Arabidopsis thaliana: one gene and its partners. The protein of the gene in region 1 purifies or fractionates together with the protein of each later gene. This does not show direct contact. Each region holds a gene or a part of one and is shown in the gene's direction. Other genes may lie near its edges.

Region 1 (8,037 bases):
ATCGAAACCGTCTTTTGATGGTCTCGTAAGAGCAGATGTGTGAAGAAATCCTGAGATAGAGAGTAAACAAATCTCTTTGTTTATCTCAAAGAAGAAGAAGAAGATGGAGAATGTGATCACAAAACGCCAATTGCAACCAAAATCTTTACTCTGTAATCGAGTGTTTTGGTGTAACAGTCACTGTGACTATTTTCAATCGCTTTTTTTTAGTTTTGTTTCGGATTTTGAAGTTTGTAGTTGTCACTTTCACATGGGATTCAAATCTCTCCTTATGCAATAAAAAACCTTATAGTAATACAAACATAAGTTTCTTGAATCAGTTTATATTCTCTTTAAACAGATACATTCTTGCTCTCATCTTCAAGATTTGTTGCATCAGGTAATACTTTTTTCCAGAACCAATGTTTACTCCATAAGAGTGTCATCTCTTCTATTGGAACTCCTTTGGTTTCAGGCAACAGGAAATACACAAAGATAGTCATTACTGTCACCCAACCAGCAAAGAAGAGGAAGATTCCAAACTTGAATGCACAGAGGAGACCAAGGAAAGCTTGAGCTATGATGAAAGTGAAGAGGAGATTTACAGCTACTGTGATACTCTGCCCCGCTGAACGAGTCTCTAACGGAAAGATTTCGCTAGGTATGGTCCAACCTAGAGGACCCCATGACCATCCGAACGCTACAACAAAGAGGCAGATGAAGATGACTACGATCACTGAGTACCCTTTTGATAGCTCTTGGTTGTCTCCAAATTTCACTCCTAAGATCACTGCTACTATGACTTGACAGATTATCATTTGTATTCCTCCAGTTATGAGAAGAGCTCTTCGTCCCAATCTGTCTACTAATCCTATGGAAATAAATGTTGATAGGACAAGAACAGCTCCTGTTAAAGCTGATGAATAGAGAGATGCGTTTCCTCCAAACCCCATTGTCTGGAACAGAACAGGTGCGTAGAAGAGAATGGAGTTTATCCCTGTGAGTATCTGAAACATTGGCATGCAAATAGCCATAACTAGCTGAGGCCTGTGTCGTTTCTGCAAGATGTTTCTGAATGGATGTTTGATGGAATTCGCAAGCTCACTCGCATCTACCATGTCTTGAAGCTCGGCGTTGACGTTTTCTGTTCCTCTTAGCTTCACTAAGACTCGTCGACCTCTCTCTGTTAATCCTCTTTCGACCAAACTGTTTGGTGTCTCGGGTAAGAAATACCCGCCAAGCGTCATAAGCAGAGCTGGAAAAGCAGCTAAACCAAGAGAGAGTCTCCATCCCCAAGGCTTAAGCTGTTGAGTACCGTAATTAACCATGTTCGCTGTAAAGATCCCGATAGTTGTAGCTAGCTGAAACATCATGTTTAAACCACCTCGTAGATGAGTTGGTGCCACTTCTGATAAATACAAAGGAACCGCCTGAAAGCAAAAACCAAAGCAAGGTAACTTTCATTAGAGATGAGATTGGTTTATTATTGGTGACACCAACTAAACAATTGTCTAACCTGATTTCCAAATCCAATACCAACACCAAGCATGATCCGTCCGGCAAGAAGCATAGCTAAGTTCACAGCTCCAGCATTCAAACCAGATCCAATAAGAAAGCTGATTCCACCACAAACAATACTCGCACGCCTACCGTAGTTCCTAGTGATGGGTGAAGCCACGAGAGTCGAAACCAAACCAGCTAAGTAGAGTGAAGAAGTGAAAGCAGCTAAGCCTTGATTATCATATTTGCAGTAATTACTTTCATGAGCTTGCTTCTTCTTCTCATAAACCGTGTGGAAAAACTCCTCAAGAAACTCATCCATCGATGTAACTCCTCCTGCATACAAACAAAAAACCATTTCAGCCATTGTTTGATAAGATTATTAAGAAATTGGATTCAAAAGATGAAGAAAAGAACCTGAGATTCCAATGTCATATCCAAAGATGGATCCACCAATAGCTGCAACAAGGCAAGCGATTATAACATAACTAGTGACTTTCCCTTGGTATTGTTCTGCTCTCTCCTTAGCCACACCGGTCGGACCAAACGACCCTCCTGCCATTTTCTTTTCTTCTTCTTCTTCTTCTTCTTCTGCTACTACTTTGCTTCTTTTTAAGAGTTTGTTGCAACGGTTGACTTTTTTTCTTGCTTTTACTCAAATTCCAGAATCTGAGAGACAACGAAACAAAAAGGGTTATACACATTTACATCTTCACGTGGTTAGATAGATTTCAATTTGGTTAGGTTTTGGGAAAATTTTAAATGTGAAGTTTTGCCACTTTGAGATTTGTGATAATTGCGTATGGATTCGTGTTTGGTACATAATTGTTTGGAATTAAGTTCCAACAAGTAAATACGTCATTTTCTTGACCTTATCTTCACATAACAAATTAAAAATTTAATACTGATTTTGCATGTCTTCCTCCTACTTTGATCTCTATTTCCACAAAAATCATCAATGCTCGTTGGAATATTGTCAGAATATACTAATGCTATATAAGAAAACAAATACAAAAAGAGGTTTTATACTTTTTTGGTCAAATGTCATCTTCATAATAAAAAAAAAGATTACGATCTTATCCCGTTCTAACAAGTAACACCTCGGAAAAAAAAGAAATCAAAATCCTTCCTAGTAAAAAAAAAAAAAAAAGTTGGTTTCAGACAGAAAGTGAAGAATCAAGACAAGTGTGATGATTTTCGTCATAGGTTGAAAGAAAACAGATTAAAAAAAAAAGAAGAGGACTTACAGGAGAAAGAAGAAGGAAGATGTAACGATTTGTTGTAGACTGGGAAATGATTCAGACTTGTGTGTGCTATTTATTCCATGGATTTTTTGATCGCCTACTATGAAGGCGATGTTAAAGATGATGTTGACCAAGTTTTGATCAAAGTCGAATACAGAGAGACTAAATATACAACAACAAAAAAAAAAATCAAAAGCTTTAAATTCACACACACAAATTTCGATAGTAGCTATGGATTTAAGACAAGTGTAAGAAGAAATCACACTAGTTTTCAACGTAAGGAGGATGATGAAGATGACATTATTGTATCCACATTTGTCACCCATTTTTTGGAAACAGATGATAATATTATTAAATCTTTGGTTAATTAAATACTAAGGGAAAGAAATAACACAAAAGTGGTTGTAGTATAGCGGTTAGTATCCCACGTTGTGGCCGTGGGGACCCGGGCTCGAATCCCGGCAGCCACACTTTTTGTTACCTCTTCTTTTTTATTTCCAGCAGGGGTAGTTTCGACATTACATTAATCACGTGATCATTAGATCTGGACCGTTCATTTTACTCCCCGCCATTTCTCTCTATAATACTTTTCCCGCCTAAACTCATCGTCATCTACAACCCTTTTACCGCCCAATTTTGCAGTCACTGGTTCATTCCTTTCTCTTCTTCCTCTTCCACTCTCTCTCTCGACCCAAGTTTTGAAACCATGAAAGACCACGATTTCGACGGCGACAAAGGTTACATTCTCTCTTCTTCTCCGTTCTCGATAATCTTTTCCCTCTTTTTTCGCTGAGTTTTGATTCTCACTTTTTTTCTTCTTGTATATAGGGCTTGCCAAGGGATTTCTCGAGAATTTCGCCGACGCTAATGGCAGATCTAAGTACATGGAGATTCTCGTAAGTCTCATTTCCAATATCTTCCACCAATTTCTCTCTTCTAGGGTTTTCGCGAATCTCCCTAATTTTAGGGTTTTATGTTCTATTTTATGAATTTGTGTAGCAAGAGGTTTCAAATCGTAAGATTCGAGCTATTCAAGTCGATCTCGATGACTTATTCAATGTGAGTTTTTTTTTGTTTCTCTCTAATGTTGTTTCTGTTTTGGATGTTGCTATTGTAGAAGCCACTCATCTCTTTTGATATTGTGTAGTATAAAGATGAAAGTGAGGAGTTTCTCGGACGGTTGACGGAAAACACTCGCCGATATGTTTCAATTTTCTCCGCCGCTGTTGACGAGTTGTTACCCGAACCAACGGAAGCGTTTCCAGATGATGATCATGATATTCTCATGACTCAGAGAGCAGATGATGGGACTGATAATCCAGATGTTTCTGATCCTCATCAGCAGATTCCTTCTGAGATTAAAAGATATTAGTAAGTTTTGTCTGAGTCTATTTGCTGGACATAAGCTTTAGGGAATGAGTTTTACAATAGTTTGCTAATGAATTTACTTTTATTCAGTGAGGTTTATTTTAAAGCTCCTTCAAAGGGAAGGCCATCTACCATCAGGGAGGTTAAGGCTTCACACATTGGGCAACTTGTTAGGATATCTGGTATTGTGACCCGTTGTTCCGATGTCAAGCCATTGATGGCGGTTGCTGTTTACACATGTGAAGATTGTGGTCATGAGATTTACCAGGTACAACTATGCTTTTGCCAGATTGTAGTTTCTTTTTTATTTTGTTAACTACTAACTCTGATTATTTTCTTTTACATGTCAAATCAGGAAGTTACATCTAGAGTCTTCATGCCTTTGTTTAAGTGTCCTTCTAGTCGCTGTCGTCTTAATAGTAAAGCCGGGAATCCTATTCTTCAGCTCAGAGCATCAAAGTTTCTAAAGTTTCAGGAGGTTCTGTTTCTGGTCAATGAGTGCCATTTATGTGAATGCACTGATATCAAACTAATGAGTAAAAAATCATTGTCTTGCAGGCCAAGATGCAAGAGTTGGCTGAACATGTTCCCAAAGGGCATATTCCGAGGTCTATGACTGTTCATCTAAGAGGAGAGTTGACAAGAAAGGTACCTTTTCTTGACCTCAGTCTCATGCTACTATTGGAGTCTATTTGTTCTACTTTCGGAATCAATAGCTCGGTTGCTTAGGAATAGTCCAATGAGAAGTTGTTGTTCGGCTTAAAAGCATATGCTGAACAGTTGTTGATTAAGAGGATTTTTTTTTCCAATGTTGTACTGGGACTCTATCTGTAGATATTGTGATATCAGCGTCATTTACTATCGTACAATTGTGAAATTCTTACTAAATTTCCTTAAACCCTTGTAGGTATCACCAGGTGATGTTGTTGAGTTCTCAGGGATTTTTCTTCCCATTCCTTACACTGGGTTTAAGGCACTTCGAGCTGGCTTAGTAGCAGACACCTATCTGGAAGCAACGTCTGTTACTCATTTCAAGAAGAAATATGAGGAGTAAGGCGTTGTTACACCTTTACACTAACGAAACATTCTGATTTAGTAACCTATTCCATGTTTTTCTGCATTTGCTTAAGATACAAAGCAGCTTTCGTGTGTGCACAATATCAGAAAGCATCTTTATACCTTTTTCATTATGATCTACAGATATGAGTTTCAGAAAGATGAGGAAGAACAGATTGCACGTTTGGCTGAGGATGGTGACATATACAATAAGCTGTCGCGATCCCTGGCCCCTGAGATTTATGGACATGAAGATATTAAGAAAGCTTTGCTTCTCCTTCTTGTGGGTGCTCCTCACAGGCAATTAAAGGATGGAATGAAGGTGAACTTTCCTGTCCTCTGATTTATTCTGGCAAAATTTCCATGATATTGCTATCTATTATGATAAAGAGTAAAGACTGTACACTGATTAGAAAGCAGTTGCTTGCTTTAGTTCATCTCCGACTATATTGTTTTACCTATTTCCATACAGTGTCCGCAGTCTTCATTGATTGAGTTATGGAGCTTTATTATTTACAAACATGTTCAGTCATTCAAGAGCACATTGCACTTGATTGGAACACATTTTATCTGTGAAGATTTAAAAACAATACATTCATTAATTATCTTTTGCAGATTAGAGGAGATGTGCATATCTGTCTGATGGGTGATCCTGGAGTTGCCAAGAGTCAGCTTCTCAAGCACATTATAAATGTTGCTCCAAGGGGAGTCTACACAACAGGCAAAGGTAGCAGTGGAGTTGGTCTAACTGCCGCTGTTATGAGAGATCAAGTAACAAATGAGATGGTTTTAGAAGGAGGAGCACTGGTGAGAGACAATGCCCTTTTGCTTTGGATATATTTTAGAAAATATGATGTAAGAGCTATGTGATTTAGAAGTTTGATACAATCTCTATCTCAGGTGCTGGCTGACATGGGAATCTGTGCAATTGATGAGTTTGATAAGATGGATGAATCAGATCGTACTGCTATTCATGAGGTCATGGAGCAGCAAACTGTAAGCATTGCAAAAGCTGGGATTACCACGTCTTTGAATGCTCGAACAGCTGTTCTTGCTGCAGCCAATCCAGCCTGGTAAGTGAACTCTCATGATATGAATTAAAAACTCATGAATGTTGAGTGATCATTGCTATCATTATTGAACTATGTATCTTTGTGTTTATGAAGGGGAAGATATGATTTGCGAAGAACTCCAGCTGAAAACATTAATCTTCCACCGGCCCTTCTTTCAAGATTCGATCTGCTGTGGTTGATCTTAGATCGAGCTGACATGGACAGTGACCTTGAATTGGCAAAGCATGTGCTTCACGTACATCAGACAGAAGAATCTCCTGCGCTTGGTTTCGAGCCTCTGGAACCCAACATTCTCCGGTAAGTTAAATCGCTTTTACAGCATTCTTGTTCTGCAAAGTCAGAAACTTTAACATGAGCATATTTGGTTCTCTAGTGCATACATTTCAGCTGCAAGGAGATTATCACCATACGTCCCAGCAGAGTTGGAGGAATATATAGCAACTGCTTATTCCAGCATCAGGCAAGAAGAAGCGAAATCAAATACTCCTCATTCTTACACAACAGTGAGGACACTGCTCAGCATTCTGCGCATATCCGCTGTAAGTAGAATTTGTGTAGGAACTTGAGTAAATTAGTTGGACTATTGAGTGTTAATATATTTCCGATTTGTTCTATAGGCATTAGCAAGGTTGAGATTTTCAGAATCAGTGGCACAGAGTGATGTGGATGAGGCGCTTAGACTAATGCAGATGTCGAAAATATCATTGTATGCTGATGACCGACAAAAAGCAGGACTAGATGCAATATCAGACACATACTCAATCATAAGAGACGAAGCTGCAAGATCAAAAAAGACCCATGTGAGCTACGCAAATGCCCTGAACTGGATCTCCAGAAAGGTTAGTTTCTTCCTTCATCTTCATCTTCATGTTCTTTCTGAAAATGGATGATCACTGAGACGAGAGATTTGGGGTGTGAAAACAGGGATACAGTGAGGCTCAGCTAAAGGAGTGTTTGGAGGAATATGCAGCTTTGAATGTTTGGCAGATTGATCCTCACACCTTTGACATCCGTTTTATCTGAGTAACACCACCCAAAAAAAAAAAATGGAAACAAACCAAGTCTCTCTTGTTATGTTGTGTGCTTTATCTCTATTATCTTATCACATTTCTTAACGTAGAGACCTTAGAAGTGGAATCTATAGAAGTGATCTCTTGATTGCAGAACAAACTTTACTTTTGGAAATTTAGATGTGACTTTGTACTCTTGCAGTTCTTTTCACTCTCGCAAATTTACTACGGTTTTGATCTAGGTTTGATTAAAACACTTCTTAGTCTAATTTTGTATCCATGTCAGTAATATACTTTCAGTTTGGTATAATTTGATTTCATTATTACAATCATAAAATATTGTAAGTACCATGCTAACATATTTTCAAAAAAATTCTAAAAGTGGAATTTTGGGATTTTTATGACAATTTTGGAAAACAGAACAATTTTCGGTTTAGTAACATAACAGATCGGTTCTGGATCGGTTTAAGAATTAATGGGCCATATTATTATACTTTTAAGCCCATTAATACAGAGCAAAGCCCATTTACGTCGTTGCAATATCTCACTCACTCCATAAGCTTTTAACGGCATGAATAATTCGATTTTCGAGATGGCACAGAGAGAGAGCGAGTATTATTACTAGAGCGTTGTTTCCCGCCAATTAGCAACTTTCGCCGGCGTATTTTCCCGGTGAAAAATTCCCGCGCAATCTCTTCACTCCATAATAAGCTTCTCTCATCAATCTCGCTCTCTTCGCCGACTGTTTCACTCCCCTTCTCTCTCACTCTCTGTGCGCTTTATTCCACTCTCCGATGGCTCCGTCTC
Region 2 (6,017 bases), on another chromosome or scaffold:
CATAAGCTATTGCAGCTGCTACACAGTTAAACATTTTTTCCTCCTCCTCTAACTACTAGATCCTTGGGTTGTTGTGATGTAGGATTCAGGACAAGGGTTAATTCTCCACAGTCTTTTTCGAGACCATAGAGTTTAGGGTATATCTATTAAAGCTTAGCCAATTTCTATTCCTAAACGAATTATATCATCGTTCTCAACAGATGGCTAGATTATGTCCATCTGAAAATTTGATTTGACAAATCAAAAGACTTGGAAATTAAAACTACCTTTTAACTCCGGCAACATACACAGATTTCTTCATAACAAGCTGTGGGATAAGATAATTGTCGTTATATATCGTAATTGACTCAAACACTAGACCTTGGGGCCTGTGTGGTTGGTTTCCAAATTGATTGCCTGTGAAGGCCCATTAATACGAATAGCCTACATATATGTGCTAATTTAAATCCCTAATACAGTACATAGTCGTGCATCTATATATAAATATATAATAAATCTACATTTATTTTGGTGTAGTTTTTATTATAAAGAAAGAGTCAAATGGTTACTAGAGGATCCAAGTCCAACTTTAGCAATCAAATCTTCGGCTAAAAAAATTTCCTCCAAAATTTTCCTCGCATAGTCGTGGATGGTATCCACTGTTTGTCCTCCTCAACAAAATGTAAAAGCCATTCAGAAGTACAAACATGAAAGAATAAAAAGAAAACACCTTTTTGACAAAAAGGATACAAAAAAATCATTTGCCAACAAAACAACCGAAAATTCTTCGAGTAGTATCAGTGGGTAGGGCCACCAGGAGTAAAAAAATCATTAAGCATGTGAGTAAAAAACAAGAGATAAACTGTTGCTTAATTCTGAAATCTCTCTTGATCTATTTATTATTCTCATGCAAACCATTAATCTTTACGGGAGAAAAATATTAGTATGATATTTTGAGTCCTGATTGCGACTAGTGATATCGAATGATTACAATTACTAATAAGTATTACCTGAAGCTTTCATCACGCGTCTGCTTAAACATTGATAAATACATTATACCCAAGTTAATCATTCTCTTAACTCATATAATGTCAGAAGATCAATGACATCGAGCAGACACGTTGTCGCCTTTTTACTCGCTTTTGTTATTACACAAGCTAAACAAAAAGAATGTCCCATGAAAGAAAAAGCAAATAAAGAGAGTAATACTATAATAAACACATGGGATAAGAAAGTGGATTAAGGCATCAATTTCGTCTCCATTACACTAAACACACACTTTTGATTACGTTCCAAGACTCGGCGCCGTTATCTTGGCGCCATTCACGCTTCCCTTTTATCTTTTGTCTCCTCTTTTTAAATTCAAAATCACTTAATCCCCCTAACCTAATTCAACTATGCACTCCCTAACTATACCCATATATGAACATATTCTTACTACGGTAGATCCATTTTAACCCCGAAACTGCCCATTTCAAAATTTTAAACAGTCTATGTATATCGTAACTAGGAAATATATTAAAAACAAACTTAGGTTTGCATAAAAGGAAAACGTTACTTGTTTAGCAAGTATTAGATATCTTAGAAATAAAATCGTTTAGTTAGGAATCATTTCCAATTCAGTAGGTGTGATTGAATGTCGATTTTATATGGTTCAGTTGATTTATGAGACAAATATTAATGGGGTCATAATTTGTAGCATTTTTATAGGAAACAGTTTAAATATCAAATATTGGTTTGTTAAGTTAATATACGTTGGATATTTGCTTTGCATTAAAATATGAAACCATTTACTTTACAAGTATATTGTATATACACGATAAATTGAAAAAATCAATGATTAAATGTCGTTTGGATTTTATGTAGGAAAAATCTCAAAAAGGGAACGATCTGATTCGATTGCAAAAAAAAATCGGATCAAAATCTCATATAAGGAAAAATACGAATCAAAGACTTCCGCTTCAAATTTTTTTTTTTGAAATCCATCCGATTAATTTTTTTAAAATACATAGATATCAGTATATCAAAAAACTGAAAACTCTTCCGTCTTTTGAGAATAAAAGAGTCCAACTTTTGCATTCGACATTTGACTATAACAGTATCTTTTCGAGAAGACGCAAAGTCGTTACGTGCGTTTATATTTCGTTTATTCATGTCCCAATACTACCTCTTAGGAAATAAGAGACTATTAAGACTTTCTTGCTTCCCAATACACCCCCACTAATATCAAATAACCTAGTTTAATTTCTTCCGTTTCTCAACACTTTTAAGAAAATACTTAACAATTGACATAAAAGAAAAAACGTACAGAGGAATTTGAATGGACAAACAAAGGTGAAACAACTAGAATGGACAAACAAAGGTGAAACAACTAGAATTTAACAATAGACAAAAAAAAAAGAAAAGGATTTGGTTAAGCAATATTAAGGTATGAACTAACCTAAACCATAAAATAGTAAAAAAGGAGGATTAAGGTTACTTTGTTTAGGAGCAGCACGTTGATAACCAAAAAGCCATAATTATCGCTTCCTTCAGCGCAGGATCCTTCTCTCTCCTATCTCTCTGTATATATATGTGGACCTTCACGTAATAGCTTCGTACTTCAAACCTCAAAAGCAATTTAGCTCTCTGTCTTCAAGATGACTTCTCTTTTCTTCTTTGTTCTCCTTTTCTCGTCTCTTCTCATAAGCAATGGCGATGCCAACCCAAATTACAAAGAAGCTCTCTCCAAGTCATTGCTCTTCTTCCAAGGTCAGCGATCTGGTCCTCTTCCTAGAGGCCAACAAATTTCCTGGAGGGCTAGCTCTGGCCTTTCCGATGGCTCTGCTGCTCATGTACACACCTTAAACCATATTTAACTTTGATACAGAATATATCTTTGTTAGTAACATTGATATATGAATTGCAGGTGGACTTAACCGGCGGGTACTATGACGCAGGAGACAACGTCAAGTTCAATTTACCAATGGCGTTTACCACCACAATGCTCTCATGGAGCGCACTGGAATACGGTAAACGGATGGGTCCTGAGCTGGAAAATGCACGTGTGAACATCCGTTGGGCCACAGATTATCTGCTGAAATGTGCCAGAGCCACGCCGGGGAAGCTTTATGTCGGTGTAGGAGATCCTAATGTTGATCACAAATGCTGGGAACGGCCTGAAGACATGGACACACCACGTACAGTTTACTCTGTATCCGCTTCCAATCCTGGTTCTGATGTCGCAGCTGAAACAGCAGCAGCTCTAGCTGCAGCTTCTATGGTTTTCAGAAAAGTTGATTCCAAGTATTCACGTTTGCTGCTCGCAACAGCTAAGGATGTGATGCAGTTTGCCATTCAGTACCAGGGAGCTTACAGTGATTCCCTTTCCTCATCTGTCTGTCCTTTCTACTGCTCCTACTCTGGTTACAAGGTCTGCTTTCACATGAAACTAAACCACTCTTACCACTACATCAGATCCTCATTTTTAAAAATGTGAATTTATGAACACAGGACGAGCTAATGTGGGGTGCGTCATGGCTGCTAAGAGCAACGAATAACCCGTATTACGCAAACTTCATAAAATCTTTAGGAGGTGGAGATCAGCCTGACATCTTCAGCTGGGACAATAAATATGCTGGTGCCTATGTTCTTCTCTCACGGGTTTGTCTCTCTGCTAATAAAAACTCATTGAGAACATAGCTTTTAGCATCACACTATCTAACTTTTACATTTTGGCAGAGAGCATTACTTAACAAAGACAGCAACTTTGAACAATATAAGCAAGCAGCTGAGAATTTCATCTGCAAAATCCTTCCAGATTCTCCTTCTTCCTCTACCCAATACACTCAAGGTAACCTACTTCACGATATAGAACACAAATTGCTAAACAACAACCTCTTCTAATCATATGTTTACCAATTACAGGAGGATTAATGTACAAGCTACCTCAAAGCAATCTTCAGTACGTAACCTCCATAACATTCTTGCTCACAACTTACGCCAAATACATGAAAGCCACAAAACACACATTCAATTGCGGAAGCTCCGTTATCGTCCCCAACGCCTTGATAAGCCTATCGAAGCGACAAGTTGATTACATACTCGGAGATAACCCAATCAAAATGTCATACATGGTTGGATTCTCTTCCAATTTCCCTAAGAGAATCCACCACAGAGCATCTTCTCTTCCTTCACACGCACTTCGTTCTCAATCGTTAGGCTGCAATGGTGGATTCCAATCGTTCTACACTCAAAACCCTAACCCTAACATTCTCACCGGAGCAATCGTAGGAGGTCCGAATCAAAACGATGGGTATCCAGATCAGAGAGACGATTATAGTCACGCGGAACCGGCGACTTATATAAACGCCGCCTTCGTCGGACCTTTGGCGTACTTCGCCGCCGGCCGTTCGACTTGAAATTGAATTCGCCACCGCCACATTCTCCGATTTGTAGTTCCATTGTTAGTTAAAGATCCGTTGGTCCAAGCCTAACGTGAAAATCAGAAGGGACAAAGTTATTTAAATGTAAAACTCTTAATGGGCTAAGACCCAATACTAAAGGACCCGACGGAAATATTTCTCGTGGTCTTATTTAACTCTAACCATCATCATTACGCGTTTCAAATATTCAACCAAGGCCGTTAATTAAGCACCACGGAAATATTTCATGTTTGGTTATAGCACCATGAAAGAACACTAGAATATTTACTTGTCAATTATGTCATGAAAGAACACTAGAATATTTACTTGTCAATTATGTCATCAGTACAAAGATTAAACAGCTGAAAGATATGCATTAAGTAGGAAATGTAAAGACAAAATATCGTTTTCTGCTAAAAGGAATTACACATATGCCAAACAATGGGCCGAGAGAGAATTGAAACTAATGGGCCGAGAGATATTTTTTCTCTTAGTGGGCTTTTAGGAGAAACTGTAGCAAAAACAACAGATTTCGAACAAAATTTTGATGTAGATCATAGCTAAAAAATAATCTGGAGTGAGCGACAAGCAAGCGGCGGCCGTCATGGATTCATCGCCGCCGAAGACTATCACCAAGGCTCTGCCGCGTTTCTCTGAACTCAAACCTCCGCTCTCAGAAGATATCATCGAGGCGCTTGACCGGTCCGGTTTCGAGGTCTGCACTCCGGTTCAGGCCGAGACGATCCCTTTCCTCTGCAGCCACAAGGATGTTGTCGTCGACGCAGCCACTGGTTCTGGAAAAACCCTAGCTTTCCTCCTTCCCTTCATAGAGATTATCCGTCGATCCAACTCCTACCCTCCGAAGCCACACCAGGTAAGGAGAATTAGCCGAATATCAAGAGTAGTAGCTTATGCTATATGTTAACAATTTCAATCTCAGGTAATGGGGGTGATTATATCGCCAACTAGAGAGCTATCAGCGCAGATACATAAGGTGGCAGAGCCATTTGTCTCGACTTTGCCAAATGTGAACTCTGTCCTGCTTGTTGGAGGTCGAGAGGTGGAAGCTGACATGAATACTCTCGAAGAAGAAGGAGCCAATCTCTTGATCGGCACCCCTGGAAGGCTTTCAGATATGATGAAACGAATGGAGTTTCTGGATTTTCGAAATCTCGAGATTCTTATCTTAGATGAGGCCGATAGACTTTTGGATATGGGGTTCCAGAAGCAGGTCAATTACATTATATCTCGCTTGCCAAAGCAACGTAGGACTGGCCTCTTTTCAGCTACACAAACACAAGCTGTTGCAGACCTGGCCAAGGCTGGCCTTAGGAATGCTATGGAAGTTATATCGGGAGCTGAGTCAAAGTCGAAAACGTCTTCTGGTCTGTATTGTGAGGTATTATTATTGTAAGGTCAATATTTAAATACGTATATGTGTTTCGGGATAGTAAGTTTATTTCTTCTTCGTGTCTCTGCAGTATTTAAAATGCGAAGCAGATCAAAAGTCATCACAACTAGTGCATCTCCTGATCGAGAACAAAAATAAAAAGCTTGTCGTGTAAGTTTTGTCACAACGTACTTATCAAATTAAGCATCCTTTTACAGATAGTCTAACTAGTATCTCTTCTGCAG
Region 3 (6,150 bases), on another chromosome or scaffold:
TGAATTTCAAACCACCTTGCTTCTCTTTCTTCACCACCAATTGCATCGTCGGCTTGATCCCCTCGCCATCCTCGAAATGTTGATCTAGAGAGCTCTTGTTGTTAACATCAGCTTCTCCATTCAATTTCTCATCGCATCTCATCAGATTGTTCAAACTCTTACGATCAATCTCTTTGTCTTCGATTTGCTCTTGTTCTTTGTCTGGTTTTGGTTGTGAGCTTTGGGTGCATATTGCATGGTGATGCATATCGTTGATGAGACTAGACCATGGTTTTCGAGTTCTTTTCGACATGCTTAGATCAAACCGTGGCTTGGTCGGGTTTACTACTTCACTTCCCATGGTTATTAATCATACAAAAGAGAATCTATACTCTTTCTTTCTTTTTCAAAGGAGAAAACTATATAGAGGAATTAGGAGTAGCTATATGTCCATTTTCACTTTTGAATTGATAACGTAAGAGGTCGGTGACTGTGAGTGTTTGGACTACTCGTTACTTAATTAATAAATAAAGAAATGATTACAATCGTGACTCAGATGTCTATTTTGTAACTAATCTTAATTTATCTTGATACTTTGGGTTACTTGTAGCATACAATAAATTGAAACCACAACGGACCAAATTTCTAGGCTTGGGTTGATAATCCATACGTTTAAAACCGAAATTGTGAGAATAGTGTGGATTTATCTAGCTCGTGTCGAAAATTCAATATAGCTCATTCACTTAGATTGTGTCTGTAACTTTTGTAGCTCGAGCAGAAAAGAAATAGGATCCTAAGATTGATACAAACCCATCTCAGTCGCCAAGCTAGGGAAATGTTAAGATCCGAAACTTCTTATCATGTACTTTTCTTGTAATAAAAAAAAGTGGAAAAAGAGATACCGGATAACAAAGGTACAAACAAAGCAAGTTCACAAAATTTGGAAGGTTGGTTGGAGTGCGACCTGATGGGCGAGTTGGAGTGTCAACACTCAACACAAACACAGGTAAGTAAATGATTGGACACTTCACTTAAGTTTTCTATTCCAAGCATCTCCCCCATAAATTTGACAAGGTATTAATCATCAAACAGGCCTTGCATGAAAATATTCTTACAATTATTTTTTCTCTATAGAGTAATTTTAGTTGGACTTGGCCCATCACAATACACGCTTAAATGTGTGTAAAAGGCTTTATGATGTTAGGATTAGATAGGTTTATGATGACAAAAGAAATCTTCATCCTAATCGCATGCATAGTATGTTGTAGGTAGTGTACATCAAATATTGCTAAAAAGTCTCACTTGCAAATCACAATCGGATATTACAAAAGAGACAAAAAGGCTCGTGCTTTACACCTGCAACCAACAAAAGCTTTTTACTTGCAGCCCTTACCAAATCTCGAAGACAGAGAGACAAAACTGTTTACTTTTCCCGACACAGTAAACGACGAACTCTCCACATTCCCCGAGACACCTCTCTCTCTCTCTCTCTTTGAGATTCCTTCCCACTCTTCTTCTTCTTCCTTCTCCCAAAAGATGCTTCAGCTTCTTTTCCCACCATGGCTTCCCTCACTCCTGGAGTTCTCTCCAACCTTCTCAATATCGCCGCCGGAAACTCACCTTCTTCGCCGCCATTGTTGTCTTCTCATCGTTCACCACTCCTCCAAGTCATAGAAATCGTTCCTTGTCTCTCTGACGACCAATGGCGTAGCGAAGCATTCTTCGTCAAAGTCTCTGACTCTCTCCACGCAGCTTACGTCGCCGTTTCCACCGGTGATGACGCTGATCTGATACGTTCCGATGAAATTCAGCTAGGACAATTCATTTACATATGCGGTGGTTTACACGTCGAGAAAGGATGTCCTGTTCCTGTAATCCGTGGTTTGAAACCAGTCCCTAAGCGGAGGATGTGTGTTGGAAACCCTAGCGATCTTTATTCTAGCGATTTGCTGCTTCCTTTTACTCAGGTCTCTGTTTCTCCGACGACGACGAAGAAAAAGAATCTTGTTGAAACAAGGAGATTGAGTTTGGATTCCGCGAGAAGGAGTTGTTGGGATCAAACTCCTCCGGTGACTCGTCGTCGTGACGCTGCATTGCTTCTTTCTTCACCACGTCTTAAATCTAAATTGGTACACCTTTCATCTTTTTTTTTTTTTTTTTTTTTTTTTCTGTGAATCGCTCTGTTTTAGTGGTTTGTAGGGATTCTTGTCCTTTAAGTTGCCTACAATGGTATGAGATTGATATATGTGACATGTGAGAAACCAACAATACTACTAGACTAGTTTTCGTAGACCTTGAATGTTGCTCTGTGAGTCACTCTGTTTGATTCTTTTTGTTGCATTTGGTTGGATTGTGGAAGCTGTTGTTTTGAGTGGTGTAGGGTTTCTTGTTCTTTAAGTTGCTAAAATAGTTTGTTTCAGGAAGACCTTAAAAGTTGTTTCTTATAGATAGTACAGCAATTTGATATTGGTTTCACAGTTCATACACTTGAAGTCCTTGGCTTTCACAGATTTGTGATGTTTTTGCAGGTCTTGAATGATAAGAGTCTGCTAAAGATTGAGTCCCCATCAAAGTACTTTAACTGTGGAACCTCTCCTGCCTTAAGGAACAAGAATGTGGTTAAGCCTGGATCACCTATATCCATGGCTAGTTCTCCGAAAGATGGTATCAAGTCACCTATATCAAAGCACCTTAACTGCGAAACCCCTGCTTTAAGAAGCAGATATGTGGTCAAGCCTGCATCACCTATATCCGTGACTAGGTCTCCTAAAGATGGTATCAAGTCCTTGTCAAAGGCAGTGACTCCTCCGGTTGCGCTTTTTAAGGTGCCTTCAAGTCACATGACTTGGTCTGATCAAAGAATGTCATGGAGTGGACTCCCAAAAACCATTCAATTGCTCGGAAAGGTACGGTATTTGGATCAATCTACCGACTCTAAGAATTCGTAGTCATGTCTTTCAACCCCTCCTTTCAGGAAGTTTCATCACATAGGCAAGTAGCAGTTTCGGCAGCAGTAAGTGCACTGGAGGAAGCATCTGCCATGGAGTCTGTTCTATTTAGTTTGCAGTATGTCTTCTCTATTTCATCCCTAACCAGTTTCATTACACGAGTTTGCGAGTCCTTAATAATAGCATACATATGAATTTGTTCCTTCAGGGCCTTTGCCGAGCTGTGTGATTCTACTAAGAAGTTATCTACTGGACAAGTAGTGGCCCGGTTCTTGGACATCTACCACAATACACAGAATACATGCAAAGCGGTCCATCGGTTGCTTACTCAAAATCGAAACAACGGCTCGTGTAGATTAGTAGTAAATAAAAATGCAACATCTTGGGTTCAAGCTGCGGTAGTGACTGGTTTTTCTCAGTTCAACTTATTTAAAGAGCCTGGAAAGAAAGGTGATGCTGCTGATCATCACTACATTGTTATGCAGAACTCATCCGAGAAACTGAACCCCAAGGAGACAACAAGTTCAAGAACCCCATCCTACAAAGGCGCGAAACCGCCTGCAACGAAACATTGTTCTGTTTCAGACCGAAGTAGCTTAGAAGGTAAAAGCAGTCTGAAGGATTCAACGAGTCTAGCGGATGAGCTAGTCCAAGTTTCCAGCCAATGGTTCTTGAAATATTTGGAGAATTCATTGAACAAAGGGTCTTTCTTGGTGAAGACGGAAGAAACAAATGGAAAAGAGTCTCTTCTCGTCCACCTTAAAGCTTTAAACCATTGGCTCGATGATCTGAACTTAAACAGAACAGAAACGAACGAGAAAGTCGAAGATTTAAGAAAGAAGCTGCAACGGTTTCTACTTGAGCATATTGAATCTGTCATTGGGGATACTTACAATATGAAAAGAAAGATTATAAATTCCATCTAAAGAATGTATACAATATGGGTTAAGAAAAAACAATCATCTGCGCATACTGTACTGATGTTCTACTTCATCATCCTCGTCTTCCATAAAAGGCGTAGCCTCATGATCGGTCTTGGCTTTACCTTGGACAGGTTCTTGATTGTTGTTTTCTGCGGTTTGTCTGTTAGCAGAAGAGTATTGTTGGACCACAAGAACCGAAGCTTGCATTGTGAAGTTTGATGAAATTAATGTATCGCCTATAATCCCTAAATCCGGAGTACTATTCCAATCTGTCAACCCTGAGGTCACAGGTGTTTCTACTTGATATCCTCTTCCCACAATGTAAAGATCGTAAGAATTGTTATCTTCCAGTTCTAAAATCGCTGTGATCGTTTCTTGGCCATTCTTAACCACTTTCTCTACATAAGTCACTGATGGATCATTCATAGTCTTGAAGTTAAACTCGTAGATGGACTCTTCATCGACATGTTTATCCTTCTCGTACTCGTCCGCGGCTTCCCCGGCTGAGACTAAAGCTTCCTGGCTTGGGACGAATCTAACGACCGTGAGTTGAACCATTTCTTGTCCCACCATCCTCCAAGCGTAAGCCAAAGCCTCTCTGTCGTCTCGACCTCCTAGGAATAGCATGGCGATTTCTTTCTTTGTGGTTTCGCCTTGGAACATAAAAGATTCAAACCGGACAGTCGTCATGCCACGGTCAACCAAAATCCCAACCGAACAAGGCGCGTGGCTCATAACGTTTTGGTTGATTTCAGCGTGCACTGCGTTACCTTCATTTAACCGACCGTCTGACGTCATATTCTTGTGGTAAGGCAATAAAATGAAGCAGGCTTGTTTATCCTCGGCCAACAAACAAATATCTTCGTCCATCGTTGCGTAAGGTGAAACCGCGGTAATGGTCTGAACCATTACCCCGTCGTTGTTCACTTCGAGAGCTGTGAACATCTCAGCGATCTGGTCAGATTCCGCTCTAACTCGGTCAGCAAAGTTAGCTTTCGGTTTGGCCTCATCGTTCATAATGAGCAACGAAGCCGTGGTGCGACCCGTTAGCTCGACTAGGTGGATAGCAAAAACGTTAAGAGGAGATTTCTTGGTCGGGTTAGAGAGTTGTAATAGATTGGTTATGCCAGAGACGTTAGGGAGGACATGGACGCATGTCAATACACAAAGCTCTGACTCTCCTTTGTGTTTTTGAATGGTTCGGTTTTTATAGAAAATCAACTTCTTCTTTGGTTTGTAAGCAATGGCTAATAGTGGCTGCACCACCATTGACATCACTAGAAACGCCAACGTCAGATGAGTGTACATAATAACGTCCAATGCCTTGGTGTCTCGTCCAGCATTGAGAATGACTAGTGCCATTGTTCCCTTGGTATTCATAAGTGCACCAATGGCTAAACCATCACGCAAAGGTATACGCAAGAAAATGGAGCAAAACATCGTTGACAAAATCTTCACCATAACCGACGCAGAAGTCACAACCGCCATCATTCCAACGCTCACGGTCCTGTTCATGTAACCAATATCAGCTCTTAAACCGCAGATGATGTAGAAAAGAGGCATTAGCATTCCCGAGAGGAAATCGTGGAGCTTCTCTTCGATCATTTTTCGAATGATGTGGTCATGAGGGATCGATAGACCGAACAAGAATGCTCCGGTAATTGAGTGAACCCCACATACTTCGGTGATTAAGCTGCAAATAATGACTCCAGCGAGAGTGTACCATACGTGAGTGTCTCCCACTTGACCTCCTTCGACGGTGTTGTTGAAGATCCAAGCCACTCCAGGTTGGATCACAAAGTAGCAGAGAAGGACAAAAGCTATGGTTGATGCTAATGAGTATGGCAACATTTCGTTGCGTACACCTAACAAATTAAATATGGTTTTCGTTAGTACTATAATTCAGTAACTATGCGTGTGTGAGGAAAAATAACACAAGGGAACAACCATATTTAGTTACCAGATTTGGAAAAAATCGCCATTCCAAAAATGAAGAGAATCCAAGTGCACAAATCAGTAACAACGGCTGCACACATTGCAGTATGTCCCATATCCGTACGCAAGAGCTTGAGATCCGCAAGAATCCTAGCAAGATCAGGGAAATTTGTACAGCCAAATGCGATCGACCAGTACATACAACCTGCTAGGATTTTGTCGGCCTCTCCGTTACTGGGAAGGTAGTATAAGCCAGCACCGGCAAGTAAAGCCGCAAGGAGGCCAACAATGGCTATGATCACTGGTTTGATGTCTTTGATCTTTATCATCCTCAAGTCCAAGCCGAGACCGAGGAGGAAAACGTT

Evidence for each region.
Region 2: the proteins of PRL (region 1) and CEL3 purify together in Arabidopsis thaliana (affinity purification with mass spectrometry, with the first as the bait; one large-scale study listed by BioGRID). This does not show direct contact.
Region 3: the proteins of PRL (region 1) and AT2G31920 purify together in Arabidopsis thaliana (affinity purification with mass spectrometry, with the first as the bait; one large-scale study listed by BioGRID). This does not show direct contact.

Annotation. Positions count from the first base shown.
Region 1 is NC_003075.7:898,055-906,091, forward strand, and holds PRL (Minichromosome maintenance (MCM2/3/5) family protein), read left to right. Parts: upstream 1-2,581; 5' UTR 2,582-2,629; intron 2,630-2,700; 5' UTR 2,701-2,747; exon of another isoform or gene 2,748-3,018; intron 3,019-3,121; exon of another isoform or gene 3,122-3,193; intron 3,194-3,320; exon of another isoform or gene 3,321-3,365; 5' UTR 3,366-3,429; coding exon 3,430-3,460; intron 3,461-3,551; coding exon 3,552-3,619; intron 3,620-3,722; coding exon 3,723-3,782; intron 3,783-3,870; coding exon 3,871-4,094; intron 4,095-4,181; coding exon 4,182-4,359; intron 4,360-4,446; coding exon 4,447-4,569; intron 4,570-4,649; coding exon 4,650-4,739; intron 4,740-4,998; coding exon 4,999-5,141; intron 5,142-5,291; coding exon 5,292-5,469; intron 5,470-5,762; coding exon 5,763-5,954; intron 5,955-6,047; coding exon 6,048-6,220; intron 6,221-6,313; coding exon 6,314-6,517; intron 6,518-6,593; coding exon 6,594-6,759; intron 6,760-6,837; coding exon 6,838-7,059; intron 7,060-7,144; coding exon 7,145-7,243; 3' UTR 7,244-7,537; and 1 more. Other genes in the region: STP7 (sugar transporter protein 7), read right to left, coding at 333-1,409, 1,496-1,815, 1,897-2,041; MSH6 (MUTS homolog 6), read left to right, coding at 8,025-8,037. UniProt on the Arabidopsis thaliana protein: Probable component of the MCM2-7 complex (MCM complex) that may function as a DNA helicase and which is essential to undergo a single round of replication initiation and elongation per cell cycle in eukaryotic cells.
Region 2 is NC_003070.9:26,898,351-26,904,367, reverse strand, and holds CEL3 (cellulase 3), read left to right. Parts: upstream 1-2,391; 5' UTR 2,392-2,618; coding exon 2,619-2,813; intron 2,814-2,887; coding exon 2,888-3,391; intron 3,392-3,471; coding exon 3,472-3,621; intron 3,622-3,699; coding exon 3,700-3,811; intron 3,812-3,885; coding exon 3,886-4,379; 3' UTR 4,380-4,603; downstream 4,604-6,017. Other genes in the region: AT1G71370 (DEA(D/H)-box RNA helicase family protein), read left to right, coding at 4,987-5,256, 5,323-5,781, 5,864-5,943.
Region 3 is NC_003071.7:13,571,756-13,577,905, reverse strand, and holds AT2G31920 (elongation factor 1-delta, putative (DUF936)), read left to right. Parts: upstream 1-1,524; 5' UTR 1,525-1,538; coding exon 1,539-2,108; intron 2,109-2,507; coding exon 2,508-2,885; intron 2,886-2,953; coding exon 2,954-3,045; intron 3,046-3,135; coding exon 3,136-3,853; 3' UTR 3,854-3,886; downstream 3,887-6,150. Other genes in the region: AT2G31930 (uncharacterized protein), read right to left, coding at 1-340; CHX21 (cation/H+ exchanger 21), read right to left, coding at 3,887-5,715, 5,811-6,150.